Drosophila melanogaster: one gene and its partners. The gene in region 1 interacts genetically with each later gene. Each region holds a gene or a part of one and is shown on either strand. Other genes may lie near its edges.

The links. A genetic interaction does not mean that the proteins touch.
Region 2: of hpo (region 1) and bun, changing one suppresses a phenotype caused by changing the other (phenotypic suppression), as found in Drosophila melanogaster (one study listed by BioGRID).
Region 3: of hpo (region 1) and Uba1, changing one enhances a phenotype caused by changing the other (phenotypic enhancement), as found in Drosophila melanogaster (one study listed by BioGRID).

What each region holds. Positions count from the first base shown.
Region 1 is NT_033778.4:19,492,183-19,498,997, reverse strand, and holds hpo (hippo), read left to right. Parts: upstream 1-2,141; 5' UTR 2,142-2,249; coding exon 2,250-3,537; intron 3,538-3,594; coding exon 3,595-4,316; 3' UTR 4,317-5,002; downstream 5,003-6,815. Other genes in the region: CG15120 (uncharacterized protein), read right to left, coding at 660-838, 932-1,196; Rep (Rab escort protein), read right to left, coding at 5,123-5,523, 5,581-6,666, 6,726-6,774. UniProt on the Drosophila melanogaster protein: Plays a key role in the Hippo/SWH (Sav/Wts/Hpo) signaling pathway, a signaling pathway that plays a pivotal role in organ size control and tumor suppression by restricting proliferation and promoting apoptosis.
Region 2 is NT_033779.5:12,542,369-12,549,001, forward strand, and holds the start of bun (bunched), read right to left. Parts: upstream 4,244-6,633; 5' UTR 4,042-4,243; exon of another isoform or gene 3,275-4,041; intron 1,976-3,274; exon of another isoform or gene 1,572-1,975; intron 1,231-1,571; exon of another isoform or gene 808-1,230; intron 1-807. UniProt on the Drosophila melanogaster protein: Probable transcription factor required for peripheral nervous system morphogenesis, eye development and oogenesis.
Region 3 is NT_033778.4:9,686,546-9,695,617, forward strand, and holds Uba1 (ubiquitin activating enzyme 1), read right to left. Parts: upstream 6,784-9,072; 5' UTR 6,496-6,783; coding exon 5,737-6,495; intron 5,159-5,736; coding exon 3,437-5,158; intron 3,375-3,436; coding exon 3,066-3,374; intron 3,009-3,065; coding exon 2,223-3,008; 3' UTR 1,744-2,222; downstream 1-1,743.

The sequences.
Region 1 (6,815 bases):
TCCACATCGAATATGGAGTGCCATCCAAGGTCTGTGACATTGAACCAGCCAAAGGGGTCACACACACACTCATGCGAGGTGGGTGGGAATTGGTTACACATAACTTTCCGATTGCAGCGGAGTTCCATGGGAAATTGACTGACAGTTGGACGGTGCGACGTTTTGAATGTCAGTAGTCGCATTCCGGACGGAATCGCTTGCCCGTCAGCCGTGGAGCTCTACTAACTCCGGAAATAGACAATGGCATATTATTTACTCGGTTTTTGCTTTCACCTGCAACACTTGAAATAATTGGACACGCAGGTGTACGAAACTCGAGCTAAATTCAAATATGGGCTTTGTCTATGGGTCACCGAGTGGTAAGGTTACCCCTTTCTAGTGACAGTCGTGCAATTTCATTTGATTTTTATTTGCATTGACTCACATTTGTATAGTTGAAGTTTAAGTTTGCCAACAGACATATGGAAAATTCTAGCTATGGTTACAAAAATAAATCATTACCCGAATGTAAGGGCTTAAAAAGAATTAAGTTTAAATGTATGACCTATCCAAATTTCGAACAATATAACTTAATACCATATATATAGTATAATTAATAAGTCAACTAACAACGAACCTAATGGAATTTAGCGCCCTACCAAATAATTCCCACCACTCACCGTCCATCCGATTTTGTCGCCCCCGCAGAGGTACTCCATCTTTATGGGCAGGTCGCCGCGGTCAAAGTACATTCGGAAGAGGGTTCCTCGTCCCGGATCATTAGCCCCACCGGTGGAGCAGCCATTAAGACCCATGCCCAAGTTGAAGGTGGACATGGACTTTTGTTGGCGCCTCAGAACTGAAAATCAGTACAAATGCAAATGTGGGCAGGGATGTCATTAGGGAAACAAATACCGATGGGCGAAACACCCAAATAAACAAACTAACGCACTTTTCGGATTGGGCACCCGACTCCTGGCACTGGCTGTCTTGGGGGCGGTTTCGTGGATGGGTCCGTCGATGACGACCGTGTTCTTTTGCTGCGACTGAATGGAGAAGGGTGGAACGTAGCGCGGACGCGACGAGACCGCCGCTCCATGGATGCCGCTAAGTGGACGCAGTTGCGCCGGATTGGCGGACTTGGAGCGCGTCGGCCTGTGGTAGTCGTGCGTGGGACGCCTTGCCGTCGCGGTGCGTGCCGTTTGGGCCATGGCCATTTCCGGTTGATGCGACGATGTGCAGCCACGTAGTGTAAACAGCGAACTGCCGAGCGAAGGAATTTCTGTAGCCAGGCTGGCACTCCTGGTGTTGGCGTTGCTTTTGCTGTTGCTGTTGGGTGTCGTGTCGTTTCTATGGAGCACGTTGCTAAGGCCTGGGGCGGCTTAGTGACCGATAAGCCAGCAGTTGGAGCTAAAGCCGCTTGCTCGCATTCGCTGCGGTGCTCTCTTCCAGTCGCATTTGTTACAATAACAAGCCGGTTAGCCTTATAGGCGCCAGTTATGTTGTTATTATCATTCGACTATGCACTAACCAAAGTCCCCGGACTGCATGTAGATTTCCCAAGCACTTTTATTGGGCATTTCAGGTCAGCGAACTCATCGGAATGAAGGGGATCTGGGTTTTCTGGGGGCGCAACCGCAGATTAACAACGACAAATTGGCACAGCTCATGTCAATCATGCCAACATTTTATTCTATTTGATGAACAACAACAATCGATCCATAAAAGCAATTTAATTTTATATACAGAAGTAATAAATATTAAAACGTATTCAAAGTGAAACAAATTACCTAAACAACTTAATATTATAAATATTATATGTTAATCAGAATTTACTAAATCTTTTTAATCAAAGTACAAAGTAAATCGTCATAAATCTAATCAATAGCCATGAGAAAAACATAGAAATGCCATCATCAAGCAAAGATTTCAAAAAAGAGGTAAGCATGCGTGAGTTGTAAATTTAATTTTAACCTTATAATTCTGAGCCAATAAATTAAGTTTTAAAAAGCGCGCCAAGAGAACTTATCGATAAATGGCTAATTCTGCTATGCAGCACTGGTGCTTTGTTTACATTCTGCGGTGTTCGGCGTTTGTCTGGCAACGCCGCACCTGTTCTGTGCGGGTGGCGTGTTGCAAAGTGCCGAGGGCACTGAGAACTACTAGTGTTGGCTAGCGATCGAGTGCGAATAAAGAACAAAAGTGTGATATGTCGCTGTGAATAGCCAATTATCTGTGTTTTCTCGTGCTAAATCAGAAAATTTTTCGCAATGTCTGAGCCAGAGGTGACCAGCGTTGTAGATATGAAATCGCCCAACATATCCTCCTCCTGCTCCTTCTTCAAGCTGAAGAAGCTGTCGGAGGAGTCGCTTCTGCAGCCGCCGGAAAAGGTCTTCGACATTATGTACAAGCTGGGCGAGGGCAGCTATGGATCAGTCTACAAGGCAGTGCACAAGGAAAGCAGCTCCATTGTGGCCATCAAGCTGGTGCCGGTGGAGTCCGACCTGCACGAGATTATTAAGGAGATATCCATTATGCAACAATGCGACTCGCCGTATGTGGTGCGCTATTACGGCTCCTACTTCAAGCAGTATGACCTGTGGATCTGCATGGAGTACTGTGGCGCCGGCAGCGTCTCCGACATTATGCGTCTGCGCAAAAAGACGCTGACGGAGGACGAGATAGCCACTATTCTGTCGGACACTCTGCAGGGCTTGGTCTATCTGCATCTGCGTCGCAAGATCCATCGCGACATCAAGGCGGCCAACATCCTGCTCAATACCGAAGGCTATGCTAAGTTGGCCGATTTCGGAGTCGCTGGTCAGCTCACGGACACAATGGCCAAGAGAAACACTGTGATCGGAACGCCCTTCTGGATGGCCCCCGAGGTGATTGAGGAGATTGGCTACGACTGTGTGGCAGACATATGGTCATTGGGCATCACCGCCTTGGAAATGGCCGAGGGAAAGCCCCCATACGGTGAGATCCATCCCATGCGAGCCATCTTTATGATTCCGCAGAAGCCACCACCATCGTTCCGGGAACCGGATCGCTGGAGCACAGAGTTCATTGACTTCGTGAGCAAGTGCCTGGTAAAGGAGCCAGACGACCGGGCAACGGCCACTGAACTGCTGGAGCACGAGTTCATACGCAACGCCAAGCACCGATCGATCCTAAAGCCTATGCTTGAGGAGACCTGTGCCATTCGCGAGCAGCAACGCGCCAATCGCAGTTTTGGGGGCGTGTTGGCTGCTAGTCAGGCGAAGAGCTTGGCAACCCAGGAAAACGGAATGCAACAACACATCACGGACAACGCGTTTATGGAGGATCCAGGTACTCTGGTGCCGGAGAAGTTCGGTGAATACCAACAGAGCTCAGCCTCAGATGCCACCATGATAGCGCATGCAGAGCAAGGTGTGGATGAGGGCACTTTGGGGCCGGGTGGACTAAGGAACCTGTCCAAGGCAGCTGCTCCTGCAGCGGCCTCTTCGGCAGCATCTCCTCTGGACATGCCGGCAGTTGACAGCGGCACAATGGTGGAGCTGGAGTCGAACTTGGGTATGTAAATGATTTTGAAAGGGCTGGCCATTTGTTATTGTATTGTCTGTTATTCAGGCACTATGGTAATCAACTCCGATTCGGACGACTCCACAACGGCCAAAAACAACGACGACCAGAAGCCGCGAAACCGCTACAGGCCGCAGTTCCTGGAGCACTTCGATCGCAAAAATGCGGGAGATGGCCGTGGCGATGAAAAACCCATAGCCACAGAGTATTCTCCGGCAGCAGCGGAGCAGCAACAACAACAACAACAGCAGCAGCAACAACAACAGCAGGATGAACAGCATCTGGCAAGCGGGGCCAACGATTTGAACAACTGGGAGCACAACATGGAAATGCAGTTCCAGCAGATCTCCGCCATTAATCAGTATGGTCTGCAGCAGCACCAGCAGCAGCAGCAAGTTCTGATGGCTTATCCCCTGATGAACGAACAACTCATCGCGCTCAACAATCAACCGAATCTGCTGCTCAGCAACGCTGCGCCAATGGGACAGCAGGGAATACCGGCAGCGGCTCCAGCTCAACCGCCGCCCGCATATCAGAATCAGCATATGCATACGCAATCGCACGCCTATGTTGAGGGTGAGTTTGAGTTCCTCAAGTTCCTTACCTTCGACGATCTGAACCAGCGGCTGTGCAACATCGATCACGAAATGGAGCTGGAGATCGAACAGCTAAACAAGAAATACAATGCCAAGCGGCAGCCAATTGTTGACGCCATGAATGCAAAGCGCAAACGCCAGCAGAACATCAATAATAATCTGATTAAGATATAGGTAAAGCAACTCACAATTTCGCAAGACAACTGATTATGAAATCTCAACTCACTCAATTGCCTCTACATTGGGTTAAGTTTGCAGATGAATACTGAATCTTACAGACCCATCATCTGTATCCTCTAGAAATTATTCGTGCATTGTGCAAATTTAACCTGGTGGAAGGGTCTAAAATCAATCACAAGAAATGAAAACACAAAAGCTTTATTGTAAAATGCAGTGAAAACAGAAAAGAGGAGTCATCGGCAGTATCTTCCAGCACGAAAGCATATTTTCTGTTAGATTTCATCAAATTTATGCTTGGTTTCTTATATCCTAGCTTTCATTGATCTGTCTTTTAATATAAATAGGTATGCTCGAATAAAATTTATCTTGCGTTTATTGTAGCTGCCCGTATTGTGAACTGCCCAGGCCTTATCATAATTTAATAAGACTTATAATATTCGTTCTTCCTTGGTAACTATTAACCTTTATCTCTAAAACACTTATTTTCTGTCTTCGTGCGATAAAAACAGTAACCCGTCAAGCAATACTTATAAAGGAGAAACATTTTTATACGCATTGGAATGCATATTTTTCGAACATATATTTATCAAAGCAAAATGCACAGAAACACTCACATTTAAACATTTATATATACCTAGTACTTTTAGCAATTATAAATAATTTACATAATAAATATATAGGAATATATGAATCAAAAAATTGCATACAATATATAACTTATTCGAAAGATACTTAAGAAAATTTTGTAATAAGTAATGATATATGTAGACCAAGGAAACCTCCTTTTTATTTTAGTATGACTACTCTTGTATATCCATTTCCTGAGTTGCCTGCTGCATGTCGTGCAATTGTGCCCGCAAATCTTCGGGCAAAGTGTGCTCGTTCAAGGCACTAGGGTCTTCACCATCCACGACAATCTCCTCTGGATCTGGGGCTCGTGGCAAAAAGTCGGCATCTGGGAACATTTTGCCAAATATGTCGCGAGCATTGGCAATGGCCGCGTCATAATCCAGCTCGTAGGTAGGTGGATCGGTGTAGTAAATATGCTCGGCAGCGGGACTTTTACTAGACTGGGCAGCAATTGTGAAGTATGAGCTAAATATTATTTGTGCGTCTGATTGATCGAAGAGTTGGCTAGTGAAAATGGCTAGATCAGACGCTGGATCCTCGCTCAACGCTGGCGTGGTCAGATGGAAGATATCTGTAAAAATTAATTCATTAAAAAGGAATAATTCACATATTTTCTTAAGTTTCTTACATAAACCCTCGGGACAGGCTCCCGTGTAGTGCGACAGTTGTATTAGGAAGGCTTCCCGTCCACCTTCATTGTCAAGTAGTCGAAGAAGATTTACACCACCACCTCCCTTGTTCAGCTCCTCATTGCCCAGGGGACTGGACGATATGAACAAGCCACGTGAGATGTGCGGCTTCAACTCGATGCCCTTTGAAACTGGTGTATAGCCAGGGGCAGAGACCACATTCTTGGCACGCAAAGTTTTCCCTGCGCTGCTCAGCAGGAACTCATTCGAATTGGAATCTAAGGCAATGTCGTCAACGGCTCGCTTTAGGCAGTAAATGCCACCATAAACAGCGCACAAACGGCAGAAGCACTGCGGCAATTCCCCGCAGCCATACATGGGAAAGAGAAAGGGTGTGTTGCCATAGCGGCCCAGACTGCCCAGAAATCGTTGTGTGCGCTGCATACCCTCCTCGAAGCTGGTGCTGGGGCCGCACATGGCAATGGCCTGCATCACGCACGACGATATCTTTTCGGTCACCCGCTGCGCCTGCAAATATTCCAGAAACGTTCGTCCCCGGAATTCCAACGAGTCCTCGTTGCACTTGTCCTCGCCGTAATCGTTGCAGGCGGTGAGAAATTTCATCAGCAAGCGCTTTTCCACGATGGTCAGTGTTTTGGTGTTGAAGACATCGCTACGGGAGCAGGGCACGGACACAATTTCACCATTGTGGCGCATGCACACATGGTCCACGGCTCGGAATTCAGCATAGCGGCAGATGTTCGACTTGATGAGCAACTGCACCAGCTCCCCGGCTGCGTATAAAATGCGCGGGCATAGATCCAAGCTGAAGCGTCGCGACTTGGCCAGCACTGAGTCCCTATTCCAGGATTGTGCATCTGTTTCTGATTCTTTTTCCATGGAATGCCAGGTGTACCTTGCGTTTCGCAATGCAGAATGAGGCTCGACTTCCTGGTCCAAGCGGGCACATAGAGCATCCATAGAGAAGGAGCTCCAAACATCCCCGTAGTACTCATTACTATCCAGGTGGAGCACCGATTTGCCTATCCTGCTGCCCGCAGCGGCGATGCAGGACTCGGTGAAGCCTGAAAAGGGCGTCCCTCGAATGACTCATCTGTGGTTCTTTTCAAATCTTCTTAATTACCTGTGCCTATGACGACCAGGTCAAACTGCTCCGGCAGGTCATCCAACATGTTCTAAGCCTTATTTGCACTGATATTTAAACTATATTTAC
Region 2 (6,633 bases), on another chromosome or scaffold:
GCAAAGTCAAGACCTTGACGCTGCTCTTTTATTCTTTCTCTCTCGCTTAATTTTGTTTTATTTCTTTTGCCTAATCGAGTTATAAACGACGCAAAAAAATCTGATTATTCTGTGGCTAGGAGAGTCGAAAAAAAGAGACAACCAACAAAACCAGCAAACCAGAAGAACAACTGAATAACAAAAAATCAGTTATAGGTCAACATTGGTCGTAGCACTCTCTCAAGGTGGGTATTTTTGTTTTTGTTTTTTTTTTTTAGTTTTTTGGCCTGCTGTTTGTTGGGGGTTTAAGAGTCTATTGGCCTTGTTCTTGAGCCACGCAGGTGTTGGCCCAAAGCTTCTTCTTCAACTTAAGTTGATTTCGAATATAATTTGAGGGAGTAAAGTTGTGGTAATTGGGCATCAGTTGTTATGAATGAAAACCAATAGCTCTTTAGAATGGATAATTAATCTAGACGAAATTGGCTCAATTAGAGAATTTAATCCATTGAAAAAGCGCACACCCAAACCGAACCAGAATACCCAATTCATCAAGAACCACTGGAAGTGGAGTATCCATTCTTGTAACTCATCTTCTGGACAATAAACTTGGGACCCCTTTTAACCCCCCGGCAGTCAATAATCAAAGTATCGCTGTAGGCACCAGATTTCGCACACAAACAAATCGGCGAATGGAAAGGAGGAGGAGGAGGACTTCTGCCTCTGCTCACTGCCTTCCTCAATAGCAAAAGCAACAACAAGGAGATGGGGTGAAAAGAAAATGAGAACTAAAAGTGCAGACAAGAAGCAAGCAACAGAAGAAGAACTAATTGCAACGACAAAGCATAAAATCGATGGCAAGCCAACAACAACAAATGTAATGAAAAGCAACTACAACAGATAGTACAGAAAGAGGCAAGCGCGAGCGAGAGAGAGTGAGTGTGAGCGAGCGAATGCGCGTTGAGAAAATTGCAATCGGAGAGCGGGAGCTGCAAGAGAGCGAGAGCAGCCTGTTGGCCCCTCCGCAACCGCATCTACATCCACATGCTCCTTCCTACCAACGTGGGCGCCTACAAGTGGGCGGGACGGGGTGGGGGCCGCATACCAAACAAACCGCAAAAGGAGAGCGGCTGCTCGCTCGCACTCTCCCGCTCTCGGACAGCTGCCGGTAATCAATATTGATGATGATAGCAGCAGCCGAAGAAGATGAAAAGCAAAAGGAAAGGTGTCCCGATTGTTCGCAGTGCATCAAAGGTAAGCCAGGATATATTGCCAATACAAAATACGGTAATAAAATGCACTGCTGCTTTCTCAGCTAAACCATCAAAACCTTATCAAGCCCTACTAAACTTTAAGACTATCGGTAAAAACAAAAACGAAAATGGGATATAACAAAAAAGGCCTTTAGGAGCAAAAAATAGAAACAAAAAATAAATGGGTTATCCTCTAAAAAATCCTCTAAAAATTTATACCTTGCTGACAGATATAAAACTGAACTTTAAGGACACCAGGGTGTTAAATAATGCATAATGAAAATTCAACCGAGTTAATAACTTTTCAATCAGTGACTTTCCTTTCCTGTCTTTCACCCACAGGCACTTCCCACCTTTTCTTCGCTCTTTTCCTTTCCGCAAGGAAATGATTCACAATGCAAAAAAAATGGCAAGGGAAAAGGAAAAGAAAAACGAAGGCGTTGTAGGAGGAAGTAAAAGAACCCGAAAGAGCGAGAGAGAGCGATGTATGCAGAGAGAAGGCAATGAAAATGTTTATCAAACGAGAAAAGAGCAGCGACGAAGATGAGGAGGAGGCGGCTGCAAAAGGAACAACAACAAGCTAGAGATTACAATGACAATGCATCCATGAGATACTCAGATACAATTGAAATCGAATATAATTTCTCAATTGAATTGAGTCGCAGAATGTAAATAAAGCAACAAGACATCAAAGAAAATTGGTGCAAATAGGTGTTAAATGTACCGAAAGTGACAATACCCTAGATAAAATAATTAGTTATTTTTTTATGATGGTTTCATTCAAAAAGTTAACCAGTTGTTGAAAGATTGGTACTTTTCCGCTAGCAATCAACCCCGAAATTCCTACATTACAAAAAAAAATGAACTGATTGAATTCTGGTTTGGTCGACGTGACTGTCTGCACACGCATTTCTTTTATGCAGATAGATCCCTGTTCAAGAAACCCCAGCTTATTTCTTGCAACTTCTTGATACCGATACCTATGAAAGTAACTCGCAAAACAATCCAAACCTTTCTGAGTTTGTGCCATCGGTTGTATCAAAGAGTTGGCAGAAATCTGAAGTGTATCCGATTCCTAAACGCAAATATATCGTCCAGTTATAGTTACAAAATGGTGCATGGTAAGCAGAAAAATTTGCCACGCGGCTTGACAAGAAAACCGATCTGGCCTGAGGTTTATTTTGTTTTGCTTTGAAATCGGAGATGCGTTAAAAGGGATGATCATTATGATCGTGAAGATATTGTAGATTGGTTCAAGGGCATTCAAAGCTAATCAGATTTATTCATTTCAAGTTTGTATAAAAAGGGTACTCATACAGAGTGAATTTCATATTTTAGTTCATAAACTAGAAATTAATATTCTCAGAAATGCTGGTTGGTTTTTGCAAATCTACTATTATTGCACACCGCTGTTATTAAATACGTATCCATAATTCTAAACACTTGTGTGTAATTCGAGTTACCGTTAACCAAACAGAACACACAATTTTTTATATGAATTTCTACTAAAAATCACATATGAAAAAAAAATTACCCCATAATATCGGATGGCAAATAAGCAGAAAATTGCAAAATGGCACAAAAACAAAACTAACACTTGACTAAACAATCAAGGCGAAGCAGAACAGAAAATAAACAACAATGCCGGGCCAGCTGACATTATAAACAAAGGTAAATGGCACATAAAATACAGTAGAAAACGAAGGAATATTGGAGTTAATCAAATGCTTGGCCAGCTGTTTTGGAGAAATGGGAATGGAAAGAGGAAATGGGAAAAATCTAAGGTACAAAGTGCAAGCTGCAACAACAACTGAGCGAAAGTGAAGAAGCAGACCAAAAGGATGGGCACACACGCTGACACACACACACACACACACACCAACAATTACGCGACTGTTTTGCACTTTTGTTTCATTGAATTTCTCTGATTTTTCCTTCGTTTTGAAACATGTTTCGATTTGCTTTGCTTTTTTATTGGTTACTTTCTGATCGATTTGTTGCACTAAGAGGCAAAGGCCTCTCTTTTACATTTTTACCACACTTACGCGTATGTCAAACAATTTAAAATTACTTGTTTCTTGGCGTAAAACAATAAACTTAAAACAAGCGAACGGCCACGAATTTAATTTGGATGGGATATTAGTTTTTCGTTGCGTTTTGCTAATCGGACAAAAGGAAGGTAAATGACAGTTTTGACACTTGGCTGTGCACAAGCAAAAAGCGGAGAGCACTGCGAGAGAGTCGATTCGGAGAGCGAAAAAATGAGTGAGAGAGAGATGGAGAGAGAGAGAGAGGAATTAAATAAACGAAAAAGCGTGCATGAAAAATTGGCGAAAAAAGTTTTGTGCAAAAAAAAAAAGCGAAACGCCGAACTGCGGAAAGCAAACAATCGAATTCAACATTTTTTGTGCAAATTTTAACGCCAGGGAATTTTTTTCTTTTTAGTTTTCCTGGCAAAGGCGGCTCACACCCACACATACACAAACTCTCTCTCTATGTCTCTCTTTCGCTGCCACTCTCTTCAAATCTGCAGAGAGTCGGCAATCCACAATTTTTCGTTCTTTCGATTTTGCACATCTCTCCGCTTGTCACTTTACTTTTCGCAGCTCTTTGGCTTTTTGCAAATAAATTAATTTTTCAGCGCACATATAAATTTTCCATCAGTGCCATTTGTGCTCCGTTTTCTTATTCAATTTACACGCACACACAGCCGCAGCAGCAGCGCACACACATCTCTACATCTGCATGCCAGCTCGCTCACACACACAGCGACGCACACGTCACACTCATACACTCACACGCACGCACATACACAGTTTTTTCTTCGATTTTGCGCTAGCTCTCGCAGCCTTTTTTCGCTTTTCCTCGTCGTTTTCAAGGGCGCCGCGAGTTAAGCGATTTTGCAATACGTTCGCGGCGCGTTCGATTTGCGTTCTTTTACTTTTTATCCGTCTGCAGACAGCGAAAAAGACCAACAACTTGCCTTGCGTTTTTGTCCCAACTCAAAATGCCAATAAAAATATAATATCAAATAATAATACCAAATACTGAATACGGGATTTTTGGCACATATAGCGGTCACACTATACTGTTCAAAACTGATATTTTAGCATTTTTTGGTTTGGTTCTGTGCTAAATACAACTATCGATTGTTAAGTTCTACACGCAGGCGATTGTCGTGCGATATACGATATCGTTTACATATCGTTTAGAAATCCCTAGCGCAACATTGGCGCTCGTTTTTCCATTATTCGAAAATGAATTTAACATAAAATTAACATATACTTTAGAACTAAGTTATACTAAGGCGAGTGGCACAACTCTACTTTTATTTGATTGTTTTAGGAATCATTTTTGTATATAATGGGCTTATATAATGTCGATAATAAGTTCTGGTCAAAAATCGGACTATTATAAATTTTAATTATATTTATATTTAATATCATATCATCTATAATTATCATATAATATAGTTAAATTTTTTATTAGCAAAATAACTGCAGTAGTTACTCTTTTTGTGTCGAAATCACTGAAAAAATCGTTAAACAGATCCCGCGTCGAAGTACCGAACCAACAATTTTACATTTACATATATTTTACATTGGTTCGCTTCTTTGCTTTGATTTAGAAGCGAATTTCAACGAATCTAAGCGAATTCAAACGACTAAAATTCGATTGGTAAATCTTTATAAAAATATATGTAACAAATAATTTGAATCATTAAGAAAATTAATACCTTAACAATGCTTAAATTTGTATACTTTACTTGTTTTTATAAACAAAATAGATACATAGAACTGGCGCTCAGTTTTCTATTTTTTCTATTAAATTTTTCTATTGATGTTTATTAAAGCTTAAAAATAAACATAAATTATTGCCAGTAATTATGTAACTGCTTTTGAGCATTTCCTGTTCTAGCGCTAAGACTTCTCAAGAAAGTTTTGTGGAGTAACAGGTATCTGATAGTCGCACTGCTGCTTGTTACCTTCTTGCATTTATTTAACTCTTTGGTTCTTCTTTTAATTAAGTACCTTGCTGATACTCTGCTTGCTAACTTTAATCAGTTAAGACTTTAAATATATTCAACTCTTACCAACTTTCTTAAGCTGGCTAACGGGTATCTAATAGTCACACCATTCGACTAAGACATTCCTTTTTTCTTTTTTTTTTCGTCCTGATGGAGTTCAGTGAAGCGTTCTGATTTTCTTGTCAAAGCGGAAAGAAATCACGCTAATGATCGACGCACCCTCCACCAATTGAAACTCCACTAAGGAGTTCTATATATGTACATATGCATGTATATACAATTATATATATATTTATATAGTATATCGCAACTGACCACTTCGTTCGCAACGGAACGTGTTCGGGATTAGAATTAATTCCACTGACCAGCCCCGCCCCGCCCCGCCCACTTTCACACAGCGACTGCAGGCGACACCCTCGCATTTGGCCAACGTCTCATTTAAATTGCAGCAGGCAGGAAAAACATTTGGCAAACATTTTTCGCCCCCCAAAAACTGCCCCTTTTTTCGCTTGTGGCATTCAAAGGTTTGACGATTTGCCGTACATGTTTGGTGCGTAATTAGTGCAGACCGATGCGTTGCACCCTTGTGAAATGCCAAAAGTCCTGCGATCCACTCAATCGTGCTCACTGGCATTTTTTCCTTTTCTTTAACAATTTCCATTTGATTGCATTCGTGGGGAAGAAAATGCTGGCTCCGGCATTCATTGGGGTGACCAACGTTGGCGGGCTTAACTGTCATTTCCATGAGATGCCCATTTGGTCAAGCACACACTGAGCGAAAAAGGTTAAAAAATTACATATGTATATTTTTTTGAAATTGTTTTAATTTTTCTGTATTGAAAAATAGATAATATATAATAACTCATGTTATTTCAGATTATGATAAAACGAAAATAAGTTCTAGATTCTTTTTTGTGACTGTGAATTTTTCAATTACACAGTTTACATAGTTACATAGTATATTGCTTTGCCTGTGAAGTTTTCATTTCTACGATTTGTGATTCGGAGTATAAATATTTTTTTCTTCTGTGTAGGTGGAAATACACAACTCCGTTGGCAGCATACACATCCCCAACGCATATGCAAAACTTTTGCGTTTCATTTGAATTTCCCTCTCTGCGTATGCCACATCGTATCCTCGCATCCTCGCACTTTCTTCTCATTTCGCTGCCCGTAATTATGAAGATGAATGTCCTTATTGCTTTTATATCCCTTTTGCGTGTATGTGAGTGCTTTCAGTATATGTGGTTGAGTTTAGCCGCCGACATTCTCTATTAATAATGCTTTCAGTCACACTCTGCATACAAGTTCGTTTGAATTTGTTGCCATTTGGAACGTTGGCAGTTGCCTGGGTACTGCACAGTGGGGCAGAAATGT
Region 3 (9,072 bases), 9.8 Mb from region 1:
CCTGGACACGTGCATTGCTCTCGTCTCGCCTTGATGTGTCCATCTGGGAGTGATTTCCATTTAGCAGGTCCATTAATCACTTTTGGAGTTTGGCTCATTATCGCTCTGAAAGTGTCACACGGCCAAGCGGATATTTATTGAATGCATTCAGTCAATGGCAAGAGAAAACAAGCAATTAATATAGAAACAAGTGCATATTAAAATTCCGTATCCGATTTGAATAAAAATATGCCAAGCTGTCAACCGGAAAGCCAAAAAATGGCATACTTTGCGCATTTGCCAACAGGTTGTATTGGGCATCAAACAAAAGATTTTCATTTTAGGACGCCGCTGCTCGCAGTCTTTATGCCCTATCCCAAATTTAACAAATTTTGGGAATTTAACAACGAGCTTTTAGCTTGATGAGCAGTCGAGATAAGAGCGAAATTCGGTGTACAATTTACGAGTATTGTTCTGAAACTCTTCTTTTTTTACACCTGAAAGCGGTCATGGATGAGTGGTTCACAAAAAAAAAAAAAAAAAAAACAAAAAAAAGACGACAGAAGAGCTCCCCAGTGACACTCTTTTTCCCGTGAGTCAACAGCCTCTGGTTTTTTTTGGCGCTAGGCAGATGTTCGTACCAAAAGCTGACGCACTCTATACGTAAGAGCGGGGAGATTTAAATCTATGGGCTCATCCCCGCGAATCACGCAAAATACGCAGTCGCAACAAAGAAAGCATTTTAATGGGCACATATGTACGTAATGCACATATGAATGTACGATCGAAAAATGTACATGTAAGTCTTTACATTTCAGTGATTCAGAAGTCCAGCTTAACAAAACCAATAGAACGAAATGAATAATATGGAATAATATTTGGATTACTCTTTTCATAAAACAAAATTGTCTGTTCATTTTTGAGAAACTAATCTTAAAAAACATAAAAATGTACTGTAATGTGGTGTTAGAACAGGAATATTCATATTCTAAATCTCTTGTGGTACTCCTGTAATGTATCTCTAATTTTCCCAGCTCTATTTGAAAACTTAGTCACCTACTTTCACCTCAAATTTAGATAGGTATTAATCTTAATTCTGACCCAGCATTTCCACTTTGCCTTGTAAATAGTTTGTTCACTCATCTTTTTAAAGTAAGCTCTAAGTAATAAGACGATCTTATATGTAAATCTTAAATACTTAGATGCTAACAATCAGAGCCCTAAGGAGTCGAACTACAAACCCAAAACTTTGATTACCCTGCCCAGAACACACTTATTCGACGGATACAAAGCTGATCGGCGCAGCCACTTTCCTCGCCTCGCTTTGTTTTCATTAACTGCATAATTCAAGCAAGTTTGCCAAAAAGCCGCAAAAGGCCAAGAGTGAGATGCGAAACTGCATAACTTTGGCCATACTTCAGTTGCATTGCGTGTAATATTTAATTATAAGAGGACGCCGCCACTCCGCCCAACGCTTTCCATGAGCGGTGCAACTTTACGGCACTTGCCAATTGCACTTTGGTGGCAGCAGCCTCCTTGGGTGCGGGGCGGGGGTGGTATAAACGTCTTGAGAGGGCATAAAATATTTAATTGTGTCACGTAACTTTCTGAAACTGACTGGCGTACGGATAGATGGCATCCCCTATATACTTCACTGGCAGAGCAGTATGCATTACAATTTTAATTTCCGAAGTGGCGGGGGAAATGAGATTACCAGACGTCAAGTGCTGAACGAAATTATCTGAGTCGTCTAGCAGGTCGATTACCATATGAAATATACAGCTTTATTCATTTGCTTTACTCCTTTTAATACAATGACGTAATTAGTTTATGCTTCCATATAAAAAAAATATATGAGTGAAGAGAAATTTTCCGCCTGGCTCATTCAGTTTTCAATTTCCAATTAATCAATGCGATTAAAATCCGCCTTCGGTTTTTCGTAATTCGTTACCTTTACAACTATGCTGAGCAGAGAGTTTCATCAGATGCATTTTAAGTGTTGCTTTTAGTCGAGTCTTTGTATTTCGTATGATGCGTATTATTTTGCCATTCCTTAGAGGATTCACACACATTTTATATAATTTCTAGATCTGGGCTGCTCTCGTAATGGTGTTGTGAAAATTAAAATGCAAACAGCTAGACAGTAACTCCTTCGTTGGAGCTGCGCGATTCCAAAACGCGTCGCCGACAACAAAACGGGATCGTAAAATAATTTAATGGTTAAATTAGGAATATAGACGGGCTTAGGGCAGCGTGTAACGGACGTAGGGCACCTCCACATCCTCGCCATCCACATCGTTGCAGCAGATCTCGAAAACCAGGGATCGCTCGTGTGGCTCCAGGCGACGCTTGGACACGCGACGCACGACCTCCGACATCGGCAACGGCAGTCTCTCAGAGCACTTGGCCTTGGGCATGAAGAACGAGTACAGCATGGACACGCCCTGCGAGAGCATGGTGATCTTAAGCTTCTCATTCTCCTCGAAATAGTTGAGGAATTCCTGCAGCGACAGCTCCCCGGTCACCTCAAAACGGTCCCACAGCGTCCACTCCTTGCCGTAGTATGTGTTCTTGGCGGCAGGAAGCGGCTCAGAGAAGGCCATGAACGGCAATGCCAAGTTGGCGAAGCCGTTCTTGAATTTTACGAGATCCCGGTGGCCGACGATCAGCTTAATCACCTCGAGCACAGCCAATCCAGAGAGCACCGACGTGGTGGTGGCAATAGCAGGTATGATTTTGCCAGCAATCAACTTGGACTTGTGGCGATCCGCTGGCGGAATCTTGTAGTTGGCGGCGCGTAGATTTGAGCAGGCCACAATGAAGTCCATGTGCAAGTTACTGTCGTCGTCCTTTTCAAACTCAAGTGGCGTGATCTTGGAGCTTTTGTCGGCGTTCTTTAGCAGCTCTGAAATGATCTTGTCAACGCGATCCTGGTCCAACTCGCCGTCATCGAAGTTATTGGCCGAGGCGGCGGCTGCTGCCTCATTGGTTTCTATTTTCACGCCCGAACGGGGTTTAAACTCGGGCACCTATAAATCAATAATATCAGAAATGGTCCCCGACGGTATTAATCTCGAACAACTAACCTTAACCTTCTGTACCAGCTCTGCGATCGTCTCGCGATTGCGAACCTGCTCAATGCCATAGACCTCAGCTCGAAGATTGGCGGCTGCGTAGATAAAGTCGAGGTGCATGGGATCGTTGACATCAAAGACCAGGGGATCGGGGCACCGCTTGGGACCAGACCAAAACGGCTGACCACTGGAGGTGATCTGATCAGGTGGGAAGTTAAAGAGCAACTGCTTAATCTGGTTAACATATTGATCCTCCCAATAAAGACGGGCCCACTCCACGCAGTGCGCGAAACTCTTGGGTTTGTCGTCGATCAGAGCTTTCTGTAAAAATAAATTACCATTAAGTACAACATATTAGGCAAAGAAGTAAATTCTATCCTTACCTTGATGGAATCGAGGATCTCCAGAGGCTGAATACCAGGCAGCTTGGCGATTCGCTCGGTGAACTGAGGATCGGCGATGTACTGAGCAGCATTTTCTGCAGACTGCTTGAAGACGCCCTCAAAGGCGTCACGCGCCCACTGCAGAGTGTGCTCGATGGCATTGGGGAAGTTCTTCAGCGTGCAGATGGGAATACTCTTTTCTGGGGGATCCTGGGAGGAGCTATAAGATTCGGTGGCAAAGGGCACAATCACCTGAACGTTGCCCAAAGTTCCCAGAGTTCCGGTCTCGACGAGCGGAATGCGGTTGAAGATGCATTTGCGATCCATATATATGCGAGCATCCACGTTGTCCAGCGCATTGGCTACACCATCCAACTTTCCAAAGAAATCTTCGGAAAAGACTTTCTCTGTTTCGGCGCCAACGCGCAACTCGTATGCGGTGACATTCACTTCCGGATTCATCCGTTTGATAGCGTCGGCGGCCGTCATTGATTTAGGCTTCTGCACATCATGCGGGCGGAACAGGAACTGCCGGTTCAGATTCGACTTCTCAATGAGATCCATGTCTGTGACGAAAATCTGGCCATTGCCAGTTCCCAGGCCCAGCATTCCAAAGTTTTTCAATAGCTCACAACCAATGGCTCCGGCGCCGACAATAAACCATTTCGAGTCAGCCAACTTCTCCTGGAACTTCTTGCCAAATATGGCAATCTGAGAATCATAGCGCGAGCCCACCGGCTGGGCATCCGCCTCCTCGACACCCTCTGTGGGCAGACACTCCAGGGCGTCAAAGTACAACCACTGGTAGATGGGTGTAAACTTTCCACTGCAGGCCTTAAGCACCTCCTGGGCCACAATTCCACCAACGGCCGCGTCCAGCGGGCACGTATTACCCGAGCAGATTTTGGCGAATTGCAGCACCAGTTTTTCGTCGACTTCCGCGTTGCTGCTGGCTCGGACTACCTCGAGGAAGCTGTTGGCGTCCTCCTCGTTCCAGGGACGCGGTAAGGCTCCATTATGGGCCTTGCGGTAGCAGGAGAGGGCATTGAAGGCCACGTGCAGCGTGGCCGGCGAGTCCAGCTTTGCGAAATCGGAGATCAAAAACTCCGGCTCCTCAGTGGCCTGTGCCAGGGGCTTGAAGCTGATGGTCTTGGGCATCTTCACCTGGGTGGCCACTCCTCCGCTCTTATATTCTCCAAACTTGCTGGTATCACCGATGCTAAATGTGTAGGGTCCCAGCACTGTGATCTTAAGGGGCTGACAACCGTTCAGTTCCTGCATGCCCTGCACCTCCGAGAAGGTGACGTAGTCACCGTCATTAAAACCATGGCGCGTCTCGTCCAGGCAGGTGACGACTCCCTGTGCGTCGTGCGTGATACTAGCTATCATGGTGGAGATCGGCTGTGTGCCATCCTGATCGTAAATGGTAAAGCTCTCGCCAAAGTCACAGAACACCTTGGCGAACAGTCCGCGCGTCTCGGCGATGATCAGAGCAATGCCATTTTCATGGGCAAACTTGGCGATCCTCTGCTGCTCCTCCCCGTCGGAGTTGGTCAGTACCACAACGCGAAACTTGCGCAGGAACTCCTCGGTAAGCGGCCCCGTGTGCGAAACGGTGCGCACATAGTTGTTTAACTCGGCCAACTGGGCGCAAGAGGCCTCCGCACGATTCTTGCCGATATCGGCTTCCGTGAGATAGAATTGCGACGACAAGTCATGGAGCTGCAAGACAAACGAATAATCATTAATATTATATATCAACGGTGATGAAATTAGCAGACGGGAGCCATGACTAACAAAGGAAAATTGGTTCTGTGCCGAGTGTACAGCAAAGACATATTTGTCATTAGAACAAAAAAGTTTTTATGATACAAGAAAACTTTAAATTGAAAGGCTATTAACTAAATAATTGATATATTACGGTTTATGAGAAACTCATAGATCTTAAGTTGAATCTTTCAGTGCATAAAACAAAACCGAATGCGTTGAGCAAAGGGGAATGCAAACACAACGGCAGCGAGCGATGCGCATACGGTTGTCCCGCTCACACACTTTTCGCATGGCGCAGACATTTTGAGGCAAATAGAAAAAGAAGGAAAACCGAATTACACACACAAAACGAATTTTTTGCAAGCAAATAGAGATGTTAACCTAACCTTATTTCGCGCGAAGTCTATGATAAATAAATCAAATAAAAACTGAATGATTCACTAAGACCAGGGATGCCAAGTCAGCCTTTCCGGGCATTTCCCGCGTCCGCCTGGAAAATTATCGATTTTTTCTTCGCCCCACACACATACCCCACAAGTTGCTGTGTCATGCAAGGTGATCGATTTCACGCCGCCCAGAATCACATTCTTGGCTATCTCCAGGCCGAGTCCTCCAAGTCCCGACAGAAGGATATCCGAATTGGCCATCCGACGCATCGCATCGTGACCCAGGACGTACAATTGGCGCGAGTACAGCGATTCATCGATATCTCCGCCGGCGGCGGCACTGTTTCCAGCCATGTTGCTGCTTCCTTCCAGTTGTCGGTTATTAGTGCTGTTATTACTGTTATTGTTGCTGGAGCTGACGTTGTTGTTGCTGTTGCTAGTGGCGGATGCACTGGAGGAGGCTTCTTGCGATTCTATTGTGGTGGTGTTCAGGTAATTGCGCTTCTCCGGCCGCTTGCTTCCTTCCTTTTCCACTGCTGACGAGGTACTAACGTCGTCGCCGCTTCCTTGGCTCTGTTTCAGTTTCTGCTTTTCGGCTCGCTTCGCCGCAGCATTAACGCCGCATGTGTCAGAGGTAGACGACGATACGCACAATTCCAGCTGGTGCTCGCTAGTCGTCTTGCTCTGGCACTTGCCCGAAATGTCAACGCCGCCTGCTTTGTCGTGATTTTCGTAGTTGTTGCTGCTACTGCTGCTCGTTGCTCCGCCGGCTTCTTCCTCTTCCATTCCCATTGCCCCCACTCCGTCACCCAACAACTCTAAACGCCTTTTTTTGGCCAGCGGCGAATGGTCACTTGAGCTGCAGGCTGGCGAATCGGCCATCAATTGCTGACCGCTCGACATAGCTTCCTTGCTGAAATATTGGCAATCGAATTTCCCAGTTGCGGCTGCACCGCTCGCCCTCTCTCTTTCGCACACACGCACACTGCAGAATGCGGACACACGCACACGGATGGACACACAAGAACGCTATTTAGTCCGGAAGTCAATTTCCCGTGGTTTCTGACTCGTTCCAGGACAGCGGATTCTATTTGTGGCCGAATTTCTAACAACGCACTCCCAAAAATACAGAACACGCACGATCGAGTTGCAGTATAGAATTCGCAGTAGTGTGGCCGCGGCTCTTGAAATTGGCAAGCCTGCCCAGTGTGACCGACCTGTGTGAATTGGAGGTGGCACAATATAGATTTTATTGCGATGCTATCGATATTTCCGCAATTGGTTAGTTAGGTTTCTTTTCTATATAATAACGCCCAGATTAATAATCCAATTAATTCACATTATTTTAATAATTAAACAGACGGCTTTCATTTTTATTATTCTATTATTTGTAAGTTGGCCAAGTAAAACCAAATGAATTTACACAATTAAAATTGGTAAGCGGGACAAATAAATCAGATTCAAAACTGATTTGCAATACTCCAATTAGCAAAGAATAGGCAGTGGGTTTAAAGCCCAGCTAAGCGCAGTTAAGACTTAAACCTTTTGTGTCACTAACTTATCTAAATAATATTTTTTTGGAGATCTGGCAGGCCTGAATAGTCTAAGAGGCGGTGTTGGTAAACACAAGTTTACCGCGTATTCAGGATACATTTGAAATCGTTTATGTTTATGTTTTTACTACACCGACTGAAATATTAGATTTTGTTAGAGTTAGTTAATTCTTTTTAAACTTGAAAAAAAAAACGGTTCGGGTTCAAAAAATACAAGCTCGTTTAATGAAAATATGGCTCGCATTTTCAAAAATTTGTTGATTTCAATTGACATTTTTTTGCTATGTAATGTTCGAAATTTAAATGTATATTGGTAATATATTTATTTGATAAAATTTAAAGTGGGTTTTAATTTGTTTCAAACTGCTTATAAATAGATGATAACAGACTTCTGGGTCATTACTTTATTTTTCATAATTGTGGTGCAAGCACAACCCTGATATCTTGATATTATTCATTATAATAATAATAATTATTCATTATAATATAGCTTGGCTTCCCCATTATAAATTCCTATATACTTTGTACTGGTCAAACTTAAAAGTAACTTATACATGTATATGGCTTAAACTTGATATTTTTGAATTATGCCATTTAATAGATCGTTCTTATTTTTCTAAACAATTCAAAAATTGTGTTCCCTTCTTCTATAAATAAAGCAATATTCACAATATTTTGAATAAATAAAATATATTGGAATATTCGTTTTTGTGAGTGACATAATATCGATTGAAAGTTAATTTAGCAAATACATATTTCAAACGTAGAACAACCTCTTAATAGATGTGTGTTCAAAAAACTTAAATTTAATAATTCTTTACTCTCCGATTTCATCAACTTCTAAGCCATTAGCTCGAAATTGAAATATATACTTCAATGAGTTTGCTGGTCATCAATCTGTCGGCACTTGAGGCAATTATCCTGGCCCAAAAACCCCGATCGTGGCACGCGCCCCTCGGCAGTTGTCCCACAAACCAACACCAACTGACCCACGGCGAAGTCCTTCGGTGTCGCTTGGTCCTGGCCGGGTTCAATATCCTTTGAGAGCGGCTAATCTATTTTCGGTCGGGGTTCCCTTTCTGTTCTGTGCAACGGTAGTCGAGCATGAAAATGCGTAAATTTCCACGAAAAACAGAGAGCTATCCTATACCAGTTTTCCGAGCGGCGGGGGTGTGTCCTTTTCAAGTGTTGAGAGCGTGCCATTAGGAAAATGCAGTACGAGGGGCAACAGCTGCAGGATCTAAAGCCCGGATCTTGTCGCACAGTTGCGTAAAATGCATTTTAATTTACGCCTACAGCTGCGCGAAATGCTGCTCCCGTTTTAGAAATTCCCCCCTCCCTCCTCCGACGCTCTAATTTTAGTCCGATCTCGATAGGATCGAGAAACTAGCCGCGGACTTTATCGCGTGCGGTGTGTTCCACGTCCTTGTCGCGTGGTATAACCCGAAAAACACAAATTCCTGCCAAATTAGCATACTGATCCTGCAGCGAATGAGCGGGGGTGTCTGCTGCCCATCTGTCCTCCAAATATTCTGCATCGCGTGCCCCCGAAGAGATATAAACATGCATACGTATGTACATATGTGGAATGCACTCCGCCCTCCCTAATTAAGCACATCACATATGGCCACGCATCATCCCTATGCAAATATTCAACCATTAATCAATTGGGAATGTAATTTGAATATGAAAAGCCGCTGAAAAAATGGCTGGCACTATTAATTTCGCCGCTGTCAGCGGCTGGCAGGGTAGAAATGCCTATTCCCAAAAATTGGCAAAGGGCTTTGGGTTATTTTTTTTTTTTTTTTATCCTACACCAAATTATTGTAACAACAACTCGGCAAATTGAATTTAAAAAGAACAAGAAACATATGCTCATTAAAATCAAGAGAGCTGGGAGGTTTTTCATAAATAAATAGATAAATGA